Linked DNA regions of Drosophila melanogaster. The protein of the gene in region 1 interacts with the protein of each later gene in a pairwise test. Each region holds a gene or a part of one and is shown on either strand. Other genes may lie near its edges. The genes, in order: ND-B14.5A and CG7483.

Region 1 (3,665 bases):
GCAAGACCATGGTGGCTGAGCTTAGATTTTAAAATACCCGCTCTAATGAATCGTTGGCAACGCGATCAACTTACAGTAGTTGCAGTGAGGGCTCGCAGCCAGTCTGGCAACGCTACCATTTGAAAGAAGAAGTTTGGCTTCCTTCCCTGAAAAACCAGTTTAAGCGCCGATTTAAGCCATTTGTGTTCTTCGTTACTTGCAGGACTCACCACTGTCCTCCAAGGTGGCCATGTTCAACAACCAGGCCACGCAGCACAAGCAGTCGCAGCTGCTGAATCCATTTTCCCAGGACGGACGCGCCGCCTCGCCGAAACCCACTTTCTCGAAGGATCAGTATGGAAAACCACTGGCCGGCAGCCTTACAGAGATGCGTGGCCAGAAGGCCAACATCCACGTGATGAAGGAGATGCTGGAGCTCTGCCAGATCATCAATTCGGAGGGCTACGACGTCAAGGACGAGCCCACTATGCGTGTGATCCCCTTCGGCGAACTTTTTAATGTGAGTGTCCTGTTTACAGCTGGTATATTTTTCGAAAAGCCCTCTAAACTGGTCACTTCCACTCTACAGATCTATAACTACATATCCGACAAGGTGGTGGGCATCCTGCTGCGGGCCCGCAAACACAAGTTGGTAGACTTCGAGGGCGAGATGTTGTACCAGCGGAGGGACGATGACGTTCCCGTCTTTCTGCTGAAGCCCATCAAGGAAATACGCAGTGAGATGGAGGCCAAGATTGAAGACATCAAGAGGGCGGCTAGTCCAGCGCCTCCGCAGTCCACCTCGGTGCTGATGGATCGCAGTGCTCACGAACAAAAACTGAAGTCGAGGACTCCCTCGCCGGCTGTGGGCAAGTCCGCCAAGTCGAAGTCAGCGTCGCCGGCACCCAAGGCTCCTGTACCTGTTCCTGCGCCTGCTGCAGAAGTCACGCCTGTGGCTGGGCCCACAACTTCTGCAGAACCTGCTCCTGTGGCAGAGTCCACTATGGCAGCAGTTCCAGCTCCGTCTACAGAGCCCACACCGGCAACAGCTCCTGCTTCGAGTACCGTTGAGATCGAGCCAGCCAAGCCAGAGGTGACCGAACAGGCGCCCGTGGCTGTGATAGTCACAGAAGCACCATCCACAGAAGAAACCACACCAACCACCAGCGAACCGCAGGCGGAGGAAGCACCCGCTGCAGTTGCACCGGCAGGACCTGCTGATGACTTACCCACAATTGTGATTGAAGCCACCGCCGAGTTTGTACGCACCGTCAGCGTGGAGCAGCTGGCGCCCAGTCCCGGAACGGCCAGCGAGTCCTCGCCAGACCAGTCCCAATCCCAACCAGAGTCGACGCCCGCTTAAGGCGGAACAGGGAGCTTGTTAGCTGGGAAGGAAGGAAGGAACATCCCCTTAAATCGTTTAAAAGGAACTCTCGCAACTACTAAAGCGGCAGCTTTAAATTGCAGTAGTTTAGTTTACGGCGTACTTAGTTTAATTTACAATTAGAGCAACACAACACTGAAGACAGAATCGAGAGTAACTTTTTATTTATTATTATTACTTGTATATTATTAATGGACGACCAAAGGAGCCAGTTTCCTCAATTTGTTAACCATTACTCTATGGAAATGAACTACGGTTTCCCACTCACAAAAGTTGGGAACGTGCAAGGCAATAAAATACTAATAAAATAAATACACGTACATAGACACAATATAACCAAGTCCTGTTTTTCTAGTTTCAAAACGATTGGAAGTGCTGGTTTCATAACTAACTAAATGACTCATTGCCTAGGCAGTTTTATGTGCTCTTTCTCGTAGTTGTTCTCTGCTTTTAATCTTTAATTAAAAATTCGGCCGTTACTATATCAACTTTTCTTCGCGATAGTTATCGATAAGTATATCAATTGCAGGGCAGCAAAGCAAAGTTAAGAGGACGAGGCGTGGGTATCGATTAACGATACTTCGTAATTTCAAGCAGCTGATATCGATTGGACGACAGGGCTGGACCTCACAAATAAATATAAAACCAAAATATTCAGTGGTTTCTCAATTTGAAGAATAATACAAACGGAAAATGTCTGCCCTGCGCCGTGATGTGTCGCCTTTAATCCAGCGCATTCGGGCCTTCCTCCTGGGTGTGAGTATCCGACATTTGGACAGCGACCGCAGAGAACTCGGTTCTCAGTTATATAAGACGGAAAATGTGAATCTCTGATTAATCTGGACGCCAATTACAGCGGGAGCACAACCTGGCCCTGCGCTTCGAGGACGGACTGGCCGATCGCACCCAGCCACAGCCGGAAATCCCTGACGGTCCATCGCATCTACTCTCGGCCAACTACTACTGCCAGCGGGATGGACGTCGCGAGGTTCTGCCGCCCATCGACCTGGTGGAGCAGCAGAAGCAGCTGGCGGCAGAGGGGGAAGCGGCGAAGGCCCCGTCTTCCAAGCTGCCCACTCCCGGCAAGGTCTATGCCTGGGATTAATGGGCCGCATCACCGCGGGAATCGCCTTTTTTTGAGTTGTAGTACGAGCCGGTTAAAGCTAATATAGAATCAAATTGAAGCAGAAATGCGTGCATTGGTATGTTCAGTGATGAAGGGCCAAGTGAAAGGCCCCTTACCAGCCCACAATGTTTCGAAACCCCACTTCCGGGAAAAATCACCATCCATTTTTTTTTGAGTTGTAGTACGAGCCGGTTAAAGCTAATATAGAATCAAATTGAAGCAGGAATGCGGGCATTGGTATGTCCAGTTATGGGGGGCCAAGTGAGAACCCCTTACCAGTCCACATTATTTCCAAATCACACTCGCCGGAAAAAACACCATCCATCACTGGATATCATTATGTACAAGTATTTTATTCAAATATTTACAGAGCCCATCACTTACAACTAGTTAAAAAAAAAAAATCACAATCCAGGAACACCTAATAGACGCGCGGCTTGAGGCCACAATTGATTCCGGTGGTCGAGCGCAGGATAACGTTCAGTACGGGCTGGACTTCTTCGCCCAGAGGCAGCAACTCAAAGTGTCTCACCATTTTGCTGATGGTGCTCTTCATCTCGAGCATTGCGAACTTTTGGCCGATGCAGTTTCTCGGACCCGCTGAGAAGGGAGTATAGGCGAATGGACTGATCTCGCCCTTGCGCTCCATGCTGAAACGATCAGGGATGAACTTCTCCGGATCAGGGAAGTAGTCTGGATCGCGCTGAGCATGGTAAATAAGAATGATCACATTCGAGTCGGCGGGTATCAATTTGCCGTCGAGTACGGTGTCCTGGGAAATGTAGCGTCCAATGATCGGCACCGAGGGAAACAGGCGCAGAGACTCCTTTATCACGCACTCTAAGTACTTGAGCTCGCCGAGTAGCTTCATAGTAACTGGAGCCGACTTGTCATCACCGATAACATCTCTGACCTCCTGGAAGACGCGAGCCTGAACCTCAGGATGTCGAGCCAGCAAATAACAGGTAAAAGCAATGCTACTGGTCGTAGTGTCATGACCCTCGAACATGAAGGTGTCTACCTCCTCGCGGATGTCGTCGTTGCTCAACGGAGCCCCATCGATGGTGGACTTCAGCAGCACATCAAGAAGAGCCATACGACGCTTCTGGCCCACATCGTTCAAGAGGGCAGCGTCGGCATCTCCTCCATCGGCAATGGCTTTTTGTAGGAGCTCGC
Region 2 (4,192 bases), on another chromosome or scaffold:
GATCTATTCCCTCAACATTGACAACCCCAGCGACTGCGCCAAAAAGTTCATATCGAACCACCAAGTAGGACTCATTCTCTTCCTCGGCATTGTTCTGGGCACCCTTCTGAAATCAGACGAAAGCAAGAAACAGCGACAATCCTCACTAACAACATCGACGGCCAGCTCGTACGTTCCAGCGCTGCCGCAAAAGCCAGAAGTTTTAAGCTGAGATGAGCCAGACGAGCGTAGATTGTAGTGTTAAATTATGTTTATAGCGCGCTTTTTGATTCGCCAAAACCAAAGTCTCTAGGTATCTGATTAGATAAAATCTTGTAAATAGGCTTATGACCATTTTTAGCTCATTTGCAATAGGTTAAGTCTTAAAGAATATTACTAAGTGCACACCTCACTTAAACATCAATTAATTCTTAATTGTAAGTGCCCGCCTTGACGTAAGAACTTACGTAAATCACCCATCCCCTGAGCCCTCCTAACCCATTTGAAAAGCAAACTGGTTTCTGTATTAAATTCTTACGTGTTATTTATTATTATTATACAGATTTTGGTTGTCTATTGAAATTCAAATACTCTTCAAATGTATTTACTTCATTCGTTTGTTGTTACGGCTAGGAAAAGTGCGTTACATAAAAGTAATGATAGAATATTAGTTTAGATCAAGTCAGCCACGTTCATGGGCATCTCGTCGATTTGTGTGGAGTAGTACTGCTCAATGTCGCGCAGGATGCGGATATCGTCCGATTTGACAAAGTTAATTGCAACACCTTTGCGTCCGAAACGACCAGAACGACCGATGCGATGGATGTACAGCTCACGGTTGTTGGGCAAATCGTAGTTGATGACCAGCGACACCTGCTGTACATCGATACCCCGAGCCCACACATCGGTGGTGATGAGCACTCGCGACTGGCCGGCTCGGAACTCCTTCATGATCTCGTCACGCTCCTTTTGCGGCATATCGCCGTGCATCGAGCTGACTGTAAAGTTAGCCTCGCGCATCTTCTCCGTCAGCCAGTCCACCTTGCGTTTCGTGTTGCAGAAGATGACGGCCTGGGTAATGGTCAGAGTATCGTACAGATCGCACAGGGTATCGAATTTCCATTCCTCGCGCTCCACGGCGACGAAGAACTGCTTGATGCCTTCCAGTGTCAATTCGTCACTGTGAGGGAATGGAATTTATGAATCATACTGCGTATATGGGGGAGCATCATATTGCTTACCGCTTGACCAAGATGCGAATCGGATCTGTCATAAATTTGGAGGTCATCTCGAGTATCTCGTGGGGCAAGGTAGCTGAGATGAGCACCACCTGGGTGGCTGGTGGCAAGTAGCGATACACATCGTATATCTGTTCCTTGAAACCCTTATTAAGCATCTCGTCAGCTTCGTCCAGCACTAGCATCTTGATGGCTCTATAAAATGTACTTATAATTATAATATTGTTTGATCGGGCACAATGAAACATACCTTGTTCGCAGCACTCGTCGCTTGATCATGTCGAAGACTCGTCCTGGAGTGCCGCTCACAATGTGTTGACCGTAGTCCAATTTGCGGATATCCTCGCCCAGGTTGGTGCCACCGATGCACACATGGCACTGGACATTCATCATGTCGCCGAGGGCAAGAATGACTTTCTGGATTTGCACAGCCAACTCGCGAGTGGGCGACAGGCACAGAACCTGCGTCTCCCGCAGCGTGGTGTCCAGGCTCTGCAGGATGGAGATGGAGAAGGTGGCGGTTTTGCCCGTGCCTGATTGTGCCTGGGCAATCACATCCCGTCCCTTGACGATAGGCGTAATGCTCCTTTGCTGAATGGCCGAGGGTTTCTCGAAGCCTTGGGAGTGCAGAAAACTGGATTAGTTCTAGACCGGCCATAGGTATACACACCACTCACCGTACGCGTAGATGCCGCGTAGCAGCTCCTCCTTTAGATTCATGGCGTTGAATGTGGGTATCACCTCCACATCCTCGCTCGTCTCGAACTCCACGTTGGAGAGGTCCTCCGCCTGGGCATTCTTGCGCGCCATGTTCACGATTTGTTCGCGTGCGGTTTCGGCTGATATTAATAAATATTTACAGTCTTTTTCGGCTAATTTTTCTGACTTTCACAGAAAAAAATGCGGTCCGCTTACTAGGGGTGGCCTATCAATTGCTTAGCAACAATCGATTATTGAATCGGCGTCGATTTAATTTGATATCGATATGTTTTCACTTATTTTGCGACAAGTGGCAACACTGATATCGGGCGGAAAAAATTTAAAGTGAATATATGTTCTTATTTATTGTATTTTATAAAATATAAATATGATTATTGCCATAACAAACAAGAAACTCAACTTGTTTTTTCCGGAGTGCTACTTCTTCTCCTGCGCAGGAAGTTCTCGAGCGACTGAAGATCCTTTCGCTTCAGCATCTTAATCCTGCTCACCAGTTTTTGCAAAGCTTCGATCCGTTGCTGTGCTTCCTTGGCGGCGTCGTTGGCCTTCTTAGCGCTCTGCTTATTTCGCTCCAGATCCTTCTGAGCCTCGCACATGCAGCTATGGAGCTCTTCCACCCGCATCCTGGCCGCTTTCAGAAGGCTGCGCTTTTCCAGGGCCTCTTTCTGGGCACTGTCGGCCATCCTCCGGATGTTATCGAGATTTCCGCCCATTTCCTTTAGCATACTCTTCATAATGTTCACGGATGTGCAGAGCTTGTCACGGATCCCCTTTGCCGACGTCGCCGAGCACGAGCTGGCAGCAATGGCTCGTTGGATTTCCTCGATAACCCTGTTCGTTTCTGCCAGACTTTTGGTGTATTCATCGAGGAGCTGCTTCTTCCCGTTGAGAGCCGCCTCCGCAGCCTTGGCCGCCTGCAACGCCCTGTCCGCCAGCATTTCCCGTGCCCTGTAGCCCGCCATCTCCGCGGCACATGGCTGCGCATCCTTGGCGTCCTTCGCATCCTTGGCCGCCTTCGAGGCCACCTGGCTGGCTTTCATGCTCGTCTTGCAGGGAAGGGAGCCGGGCTTGAAACGCGGATCATTCCGCTGGGCAGGATGCGCGGCGGTCGACAGCAGGATGTTCGAAAGAAGCAACATCGTAACCAGGGAGTCGCAACGCATTGGGAATCTTGCATCGTACATAAATCTCAAGGCTCATCAGGAAATCGAAATGTGGAGATAATAATGGGAATATAGCAGCTCCACCTTTCAAATCACTATTATTTGAAATATTTGTACAGTAACCACAAGTTACCTGGAGTATATATTTCTTAAATATCTTTAGAAATCCGTTTAATACAACTATTTCGAGTTAAGCATGGAGATAGCACGAATCGCATTTCTACTTTTCTTCCTGTTCTCAGATCATTCTGCGGGCCACAAGTTGCCGCAGTCCTCCAATGAGATAGCTGCTCTAATGTCGGATCATCATGGTGATGGCGACAACAGTGTGTCGTCATCCTCCGGCGGTGCCCCGTGCGACTTCAAGATGAATGGAAAGACCAGGGTAAAGGCCTCATGCATTGCGCAGAAGGCGGCCAAGGAAGCCATGGAGGCATCCGATGCCCAGATAGAGGCTGGCGAGGCAGCTGCCCGCCAGGTGAAGCAGCAACTGGCCGACAAAGCGCTGGCCGCAGCCAAGGCGGCAGAAGCTGCTCTGGCCGGCAAGCAACAGATTGTCGAGCAACTGGAGTCCGAGGTGCGCGAGGGGGAGCTAGTGGTCCAGGAGGAGAGCACCTTGTTACAGACCACCCAAACTACTTATGCTGCGGCCGGGCAAGCGGCCAAACAGGCGGCAGATCAGCTGAACACCATTACGCTGGCGGTGAAGAATGCGCAGGATAATGTGGTCAACTCGGAGCACGTGGCCAGTGGCGCTCAGCAGGAGCTGGGCGAGAAGCAACAGCTTGTGGAAGCGGCCAAGAAGCGGGTGGAGCTATTGCTCCGCCAGCTGGAGGTGGCCCGTGTGGATTTCAAGAATACCAAAAACGCCGCCGAGAAGGCAGCCTGTGCTGCCCAGGAGGCCAGGCATAGGGCCACCAGGGAGCGCAGGAGGGCGGAACTGAGGCACTTACTCTGGCTGAAGAGGGGGCGCACCAACTGAAGCCAATAACTTGTATATCTTATATTTTATTTTACTTTGCATTTTCAAAAGGGAGAATATAATTCAGTTTTATTAAATTCAATAGTTCGTAGGTGAGATCACAATTATAA

What was found.
Region 2: the proteins of ND-B14.5A (region 1) and CG7483 interact in a two-hybrid assay, tested with the Drosophila melanogaster proteins (one large-scale study listed by BioGRID).

What each region holds. Positions count from the first base shown.
Region 1 is NC_004354.4:2,170,587-2,174,251, forward strand, and holds ND-B14.5A (NADH dehydrogenase (ubiquinone) B14.5 A subunit), read left to right. Parts: upstream 1-1,939; 5' UTR 1,940-2,056; coding exon 2,057-2,119; intron 2,120-2,219; coding exon 2,220-2,468; 3' UTR 2,469-2,846; downstream 2,847-3,665. Other genes in the region: CG3630 (uncharacterized protein), read left to right, coding at 203-499, 569-1,342; Cyp4d14 (cytochrome P450 4d14), read right to left, coding at 2,911-3,665.
Region 2 is NT_033777.3:8,311,173-8,315,364, reverse strand, and holds CG7483 (uncharacterized protein), read right to left. Parts: upstream 2,158-4,192; 5' UTR 2,028-2,157; coding exon 1,895-2,027; intron 1,835-1,894; coding exon 1,468-1,834; intron 1,413-1,467; coding exon 1,221-1,412; intron 1,160-1,220; coding exon 652-1,159; 3' UTR 501-651; downstream 1-500. Other genes in the region: Coq2 (coenzyme Q biosynthesis protein 2), read left to right, coding at 2-211; CG11698 (uncharacterized protein), read right to left, coding at 2,333-3,121; CG11694 (uncharacterized protein), read left to right, coding at 3,297-4,082. UniProt on the Drosophila melanogaster protein: ATP-dependent RNA helicase. Core component of the splicing-dependent multiprotein exon junction complex (EJC) deposited at splice junctions on mRNAs. Involved in exon definition of genes containing long introns, including the rolled/MAPK gene.